Linked DNA regions of Xenopus tropicalis. The protein of the gene in region 2 interacts with the protein of the main gene of each other region in a pairwise test. Links are inferred from orthologs where the notes say so. Each region holds a gene or a part of one and is shown on either strand. Other genes may lie near its edges.

Region 1 (4,102 bases), on a different chromosome or scaffold from region 2:
CGGTGTGTGCCGCTTGATCTTGAATTGCACCACTGAGCCATCCTGGCCAGCCACTTTCAGGTTGATGTGGTCGTTGTTCTCGGTCTTAACACCTTCCTAAAAGAAGTAAAAAGTGGAATGAGTGCTGGGAAGGGGCATCATGGCACAGAAACACTGGTAACGCTTGTGGTTATTCATCCCGTTGTGAGAAATGAGCTCTTTGCACCCCATTCTAGAGAATACTTTGGCACCAAATGACAAAAGAACTCTAGTTATATTAGATCTGGCCGGGGACCATGCTACATTTGGTAATGTGTTCACAACGCACAAGAAGAAAGATGGGGAGCACAGAAGTTATAAGGCTGCATGTCATTACACAAAATACACCAAATGTTCCCTTTAGAACAACAGTCACTGCTGGGAGCTACAGTTCTGGAATGTTTACTGACTGCACAGGCATTTAACTTACAACTACACTCACAAAAGCTGGTCTAGCCCCTAACCTCATCGTATATATTAGCCTTACAGTACGCTTGCCTGTGTCTCTAGGTCCCCAATTAACAGGTCCCAGTGATTAAGAGAGCAATATCACATTGAGGGCCAGTATGCAGAATAACATGGTACTGCTTCACAGTGTCACAGACCCTGAATCTAAAGACTTAATACAAGTTTAAAAGTTCTCAGAACTTTCTTTCCACTGTGCCTAATGCACCTTACCCTTCCTGCTTCTAACACGTGTTCCTCCATTACCTACACTACTTCCTCAATTCTAAAATTCCTTCCATACTAAGAATTCTCCTTCCTTAGGTCGAAGACACACAGTAGTAGCAGCTACTTGTCACAGCTACTAAAATATTCAATGCCAATCAGTTACTGATAATTCTCTGTTTTCGCAACGCTCCATACTGTCTAAGGCAGGGGATTTTCTGGTGTTTTGTAGCTGTAAAAAATTAGTTGCTGCTAGTAGCTCAGTGTGTCTTCACCCTTATGCCCCTTACTCTGCATGGAATGCCCCCAACATAACCTAGGCTTCTGGCCAGTATTAACTCTATTTAATGGCACTGAGCCCTGCATACCCATTTTCCCACCATTAAGCTCTCCCATAATACTTGCCCTTCTCACTGGCCAGAGGCTACATCTTTTCCCACTCAACATTCTTGAATTCCTCTCTCCCCAAGTTACCTCATTCCCTAAAGTCAATGCCCCCAACATACCTGGGCTCAGGGCCCCCTAAGCTCCCAATTCCCAGCCCCAGTATATGCCCCCAACATACCTGGGCTCAGGGCCCCCTAAGCTCCCAATTCCCAGCCCCAGTATATGCCCCCAACATACCTGGGCTCAGGGCCCCCTAAGCTCCCAATTCACAGCCCCAGTATATGCCCCCAACATACCTGGGCTCAGGGCCCCCTAAGCTCCCAATTCACAGCCCCAGTATATGCCCCCAACATACCTGGGCTCAGGGCCCCCTAAGCTCCCAATTCCCAGTATATGCCCCCAACATACCTGGGCTCAGGGCCCCCTAAGCTCCCAATTCCCAGTATATGCCCCCAACATACCTGGGCTCAGGGCCCCCTAAGCTCCCAATTCCCAGTATATGCCCCCAACATACCTGGGCTCAGGGCCCCCTAAGCTCCCAATTCACAGCCCCAGTATATGCCCCCAACATACCTGGGCTCAGGGCCCCCTAAGCTCCCAATTCCCAGTATATGCCCCCAACATACCTGGGCTCAGGGCCCTCTAAGCTGCCAATTCCCAGCCCCAGTATATTCCCCCCCAACATACCTGGGCTCAGGGCCCCCTAACCTCCCTATTCCCAGCCCCAGTATATGTCCCCAACATACCTAGGCTCAGAGCCCCCTAAACTGCCAATTCCCAGGCCCAGTATATTCCCCCCCCAACATACCTGGGCTCAGGGCCCCCTAACCTCCCAATTCCCAGCCCCAGTATATTCCCCCACAACATACCTGGGCTCAGGCCCCCCTAATATCCCTATTCCCAGTATAGCCAAGGTCGCCCATTCCCATTTACTTCCCATCTCCCAATACTGGCAGTGCCCAACATACCCTTCCCCAGTGCTCCCTGGTTCCTGTCCTCCCTTCCCCAGTGCTCCCTGGCTCCTGTGCTCCCTTCCCCAGTGCTCCCTGGTTCCTGTGCTCCCTGGTTCCTGTGCTCCCTTCCCCAGTGCTCCCTTCCCCAGTGCTCCCTTCCCCAGTGCTCCCTTCCCCAGTGCTCCCTTCCCCAGTGCTCCCTTCCCCAGTGCTCCCTTCCCCAGTGCTCCCTTCCCCAGTGCTCCCTTCCCCAGTGCTCCCTTCCCCAGTGCTCCCTTCCCCTGTGCTCCCTTCCCCTGTGCTCCCTTCCCCTGTGCTCCCTTCCCCTGTGCTCCCTTCCCCTGTGCTCCCTTCCCCTGTGCTCCCTTCCCCTGTGCTCCCTTCCCCTGTGCTCCCTTCCCCAGTGCTCCCTTCCCCAGTGCTCCCTGGTTCCTGTGCTCCCTTCCCCAGTGCTCCCTTCCCCTGTGCTCCCTTCCCCAGTGCTCCCTTCCCCTGTGCTCCCTTCCCCAGTGCTCCCTTCCCCAGTGCTCCCTTCCCCAGTGCTCCCTTCCCCAGTGCTCCCTGGTTCCTGTGCTCCCTTCCCCATAAACCTAGTGGGCCAATGCAGTGCAGCCTCCCATAACCAAGCCCCGCTAGTATGGGCGTCCCTCTCCCGGCTGTCTCCCTACGGGCCCCTCCCGTACCCACAGAGCCCCCGCACAGCCCGCAGGCCGCTGCCCCCTCCCTTTAGCGCCTAGGCCTCTCCCTCCTCCTGCCCCGCACCCACTGCCCCCGGCCCCAAGCCCGCTATGCGACCCTTCCCTCTCCCAGCCCGGAGCAGGACCTTGGGCTTATCGTCCGCCATTGTCAGTTCGCTCCCGGTGCCCGGTACTCTCGCTGCTGCCTCCTCCTCACAAAGAGCCTGAACTGGCGCGGGACGTGGAACGAGAGCGCGCACGTACGGAAAGGAAGATTTGGCGCACTCTCTGCGTGCGCGCCCCCGCCGCTATTTCCACTGTAGGGAAAAGCCCGCCTTGGGGAGCACGTGGCGGCGGGGGCGCGCATGGGGGGAGGGGTCTGACTCTGAGGAGAGTCAGGGTGAGGTTGGGCCGCATTGTACCCGGGATTGGCTAAATCCCTTCCAGTGACTTCATTGGCCTAGTCTCATAGAGGGGGCAGGAGCCATGATAGAAGCTTCCAGAAACAGCCCCCCCTATAATTAAGCCAAAGGAGGAAGCCATACCAGTTGCCATACCAGTTACCTTTTCACTAAAACTTTATTTTGATCAGTCCTGCACTTAAGGGCAAATGCCCATACCTGGTGCCTCTTACCTTCCAGTTTGTGCCTGTATGTTACCCAACCACTTAGATTGTAAGCTCTACGGGGCAGGGACCTCCTTCCTACTGTGTCTCATACCCCATGGCACTTACTCCCTGTGTATTTATACTTATTTATTGAAATTTATTATAACACTTGCCCTACCTGTGGGTAATTGTGTATATTGTAAGATTGTACAGTGCTGCGTATCCTTGTGGCGCTTTATAAATAAAGTTATACATACCAAAAACATAGAGAAGCTAACCATATCCAAAGCTACCAGACAAAACATAAAAATCATATCCAAACCATATCCAAAGTTACCAGACAAAACATAAAAATCATATCCAAACCATATCCAAAGTTACCAGACAAAACATAAAAATCATATCCAAACCATATCCAAAGTTACCAGACAAAACATAAAAATCATATCCAAACCATATCCAAAGTTTCCAGACAAAACATAAAAATCATGGAAGGTGGCTGCCCTTTTAGGGACATAAAATACAGCCATTTCCCAGGGTGGGACTGGACGAGCGGAACGATAGGAGAAAAACCGTCTGTTGAGGTGGTGGACCCCACACACCTCATTCCAACACTGGGATTTACTGTCTTTCTTCCCTATTTACTGTTAATAACACTGACAGCCTTCTGCTCCTCATAGTTACCCCCCCAAAAATGAAAAGGCCTAAAACCCACCCAAAATTGCCTAGGGTACAAGCAGTGCATATTGGGACATGGTTATAAGGGCATTTATTTTCTTTCATTTGGAGTT
Region 2 (4,184 bases):
CTGCTGTGTGTATATATTATCCCAGCTCCCAGCATGCCCTGCTGTGTGTATGTATTATCCCCGGCTCCCAGCATGCCCTGCTGTGTGTATATATTATCCCGGCTCCCAGCATGCCCTGCTGTGTGTATATATTATCCCCCGGCTCCCAGCATGCCCTGCTGTGTGTATATATTATCCCGGCTCCCAGCATGCCCTGCTGTGTGTATGGCAGTGTGTGTGGGGGGGCGAGGTTGCCAAGCAAGCGGATCTTCTCCCAATATGCCCACATTTAGGGCTAAACTACTGAATTACAACGGTGGGCACAGGCATAGAGATTGGGGGCCGCACCCACAAGCTGATGCCGTCCCTGATCCAATGGAAAATCAAACCCGTGAGATCGAGATCTAACCAATCATAGGCCAGATATTGGTCGGGGTGCCCATCGGGGTGTGCGGCTTTAGGCTGGGCAGGAGGTGTAAGAGCTGCTGGTGCGGCTGAATGAGCAGATCTTTGCCCAATTTGCCCAATGATGCACTGATGGGATTGTATTGGGTCCTAGGGAGACCCACTGAGACTCATGTGGCCCCAGTTGATCTTATTATCAGCCACATACATAGTTACATAGTTACATAGTTACATAGTTACATAGTTACATAGGGTTGAAAAAAGACCTGTGTCCATCAAGTTCAACCCATCCAAGTAAACCCAGCACACCTAACCCACACCTACCAATCTATACTCACATACATAAACTATAAATACAACCACTAATACTAACTGTAGATATTAGTATCACAATAGCCTTGGATATTCTGATTGATCAAGAACTCATCCAGGCCCCTCTTAAAGGCATTAACAGAATCTTAAAGGCATTAACAGAATCTTAAAGGCATTAACAGAATCAATACTGGTCACACAGGCCACCCGGAGGGCCCCACACATTGCCAACTGGGTACCGAGGGGCAAGTTATCAGCCCCAGTATGGCCGCTATCAGAAGGGTTCGGGGGGTTAATAGATTTCTGACCAATACAGACCCCCCATTCCTAGTACCCAGGGCCCAACAGCCCCATGGGCACAAACTCACCCAGCAACTCCCTGCAGCCTACATGTCTAGTTATACTCCCAGCACCTTGTGGCAGTTCCAAGCTGGGAGAGAGATTAGTTCAACTACATTCCTGCCCCTGGGAGAATAAATGACTATTTACTCACATCCCTTTGGGTTGGTATAAAAGTCAAGTTTTCAACAATAAATTCTAGAGTTCCAGCCCCCTGCAATCCCGGCAGTGGCCGCTAGGGGCAGACTGGCCGCGCCGTGTATTTCCTGATTCAAGCTCGTTCCCGTAAAGTGAAAGTCCCGGGAGTGGCCGCTAGGGGCAGCCTGGCCGCGCCGTGTATTTCCTGATTCAAGCTGGTTCCCGTAAAGTGAAAGTCCCGGGAGTGGCCGCTAGGGGCAGCCTGGCCGCGCCGTGTATTTCCTGATTCAAGCTCGTTCCCGTAAAGTGAAAGTCCCGGGAGTGGCCGCTAGGGGCAGCCTGGCCGCGCCGTGTATTTCCTGATTCAAGCTGGTTCCCGTAAAGTGAAAGTCCCGGGAGTGGCCGCTAGGGGCAGCCTGGCCGCGCCGTGTATTTCCTGATTCAAGCTGGTTCCCGTAAAGTGAAAGTCCCGGGAGTGGCCGCTAGGGGCAGCCTGGCCGCGCCGTGTATTTCCTGATTCAAGCTCACTCCCGTAAAGTGAAAGTCGGGCAGCAATCGGGATATTACACCGGACTCCCCCGGTACCGCACCCCGTTGGTAGGGGGGTTTATTCGTGCATTGCGGATGGCAGTGTGGCCCTGAGAGGGGGGTGGGACTGCTGGAAGCCCCCGCCTGACTGAAGCCCTTCTGGCTGTGGGTGAGTACAATGCCGGCGGGGTAACGTGTCCGTCCGCAGGGGAAGTTCTAGGGAGCCGCCGGGCCGCTTTGCGGTTAGGGGAGCGGGGAGGGAATCGGACGCGGAATCGGACGCGGGCTCTTTAAATTTCAGGCGGCTGCACGCTCGCTAACAAAGGCGCCTCCCGGGGCCCAGCTTAACCCTGTGTGTGCCGGGGGCTGTAACCCTGTGTGTGCCGGGGGCTGTAACCCTGTGTGTGCCGGGGGCTGTAACCCTGTGTGTGCCGGGGGCTGTAACCCTGTGTGTGCCGGGGGCTGTGTGTAACTGTATCGGTGCTGTACATCCCGGGGTTTGTATCACTCCGGAACCGGGATCCGTTACACTGTGTCCCCCTCACACCATGTGACCCCCAGCTTCTGTTATAGCCCCATTGCCCTCATATGTACCTACCTCCCACCGTACCTACCGTCTTATATATCTGTATATACATATTACCCTATATATCTGTATCCACTATACATACCTACACGCTACCCTATATATCTGTATCCACTATACATACCTACACGCTACCCTATATACCTGTATCCACTATACATACCTACACGCTACCCTATATATCTGTATCCACTATACATACCTACATGCTACCCTATATATCTGTATGCCACTATACATACCTACACGCTACCCTATATATCTGTATCCACTATACATACCTACACGCTACCCTATATATCTGTATCCACTATACATACCTACACGCTACCCTATATATCTGTATCCACTATACATACCTACACGCTACCCTATATATCTGTATCCACTATACATACCTACATGCTACCCTATATATCTGTATCCACTATACATACCTACACGCTACCCTATATATCTGTATCCACTATACATACCTACATGCTACCCTATATATCTGTATGCCACTATACATACCTACACGCTACCCTATATATCTGTATCCACTATACATACCTACACGCTACCCTATATATCTGTATCCACTATACATACCTACACGCTACCCTATATATCTGTATCCACTATACATACCTACACGCTACCCTATATATCTGTATCCACTATACATACCTACATGCTACCCTATATATCTGTATCCACTATACATACCTACACGCTACCCTATATATCTGTATCCACTATACATACCTACATGCTACCCCTATATATCTGTATCCACTATACATACCTACACGCTACCCTATATATCTGTATCCACTATACATACCTACACGCTACCCTATATATCTGTATCCACTATACATACCTACATGCTACCCTATATATCTGTATCCACTATACATACCTACACGCTACCCTATATATCTGTATCCACTATACATACCTACACGCTACCCTATATATCTGTATCCACTATACATACCTACATGCTACCCTATATATCTGTATCCACTATACATACCTACACGCTACCCTATATATCTGTATCCACTATACATACCTACATGCTACCCTATATATCTGTATCCACTATACATACCTACATGCTACCCTATACAGGTCCTTTTCAAAAAATTAGCATATTGTGATAAAGTTCATTATTTTCTGTAATGTACTGATAAACATTAGACTTTCATATATTTTAGATTCATTACACACAACTGAAGTAGTTCAAGCCTTTTCTTGTTTTAATATTGATGATTGTGGCATACAGCTCATGAAAACCCAAAATTCCTATCTAAAAAAATTAGCATATTTCATCCGACCAATAAAAAAAAGTGTTTTTAATACAAAAAAAGTCAACCTTCAAATAATTATGTTCAGTTATGCACTCAATACTTGGTCGGGAATCCTTTTGCAGAAATGACTGCTTCAATGTGGCGTGGCATGGAGGCAATCAGCCTGTGGCACTGCTCAGGTGTTATGGAGGCCCAGGATGCTTCAATAGCGGCCTTAAGCTCATCCAGAGTGTTGGCTCTTGTGTCTCTCAACTTTCTCTTCACAATATCCCACAGATTCTCTATGGGGTTCAGGTCAGGAGAGTTGGCAGGCCAATTGAGCACAGTAATACCATGGTCAGTAAACCATTTACCAGTGGTTTTGGCACTGTGAGCAGGTGCCAGGTTGTGCTGAAAAATGAAATCTTCATCTCCATAAAGCTTTTCAGCAGATGGAAGCATGAAGTGCTCCAAAATCTCCTGATAGCTAGCTGCATTGACCCTGCCCTTGATAAAACACAGTGGACCAACACCAGCAGCTGACATGGCACCCCAGACCATCACTGACTGTGGGTACTTGACACTGGACTTCAGGCATTTTGGTATTTCCCTCTCCC

Evidence for each region.
Region 1: the proteins of pias3 (region 2) and sumo2 interact in a two-hybrid assay, tested with the Homo sapiens proteins (2 studies listed by BioGRID). The link is inferred for Xenopus tropicalis from reciprocal best matches to the Homo sapiens genes PIAS3 and SUMO2.

What each region holds. Positions count from the first base shown.
Region 1 is NC_030686.2:44,411,180-44,415,281, reverse strand, and holds the start of sumo2 (small ubiquitin-related modifier 2 precursor), read right to left. Parts: upstream 2,882-4,102; 5' UTR 2,872-2,881; coding exon 2,851-2,871; intron 2,141-2,850; exon of another isoform or gene 1,904-2,140; intron 1,557-1,903; exon of another isoform or gene 699-1,556; intron 97-698; coding exon 1-96. UniProt on the Homo sapiens protein: Ubiquitin-like protein that can be covalently attached to proteins as a monomer or as a lysine-linked polymer.
Region 2 is NC_030684.2:141,818,919-141,823,102, reverse strand, and holds the start of pias3 (E3 SUMO-protein ligase PIAS3), read left to right. Parts: upstream 1-1,310; 5' UTR 1,311-1,870; intron 1,871-4,184. UniProt on the Homo sapiens protein: Functions as an E3-type small ubiquitin-like modifier (SUMO) ligase, stabilizing the interaction between UBE2I and the substrate, and as a SUMO-tethering factor.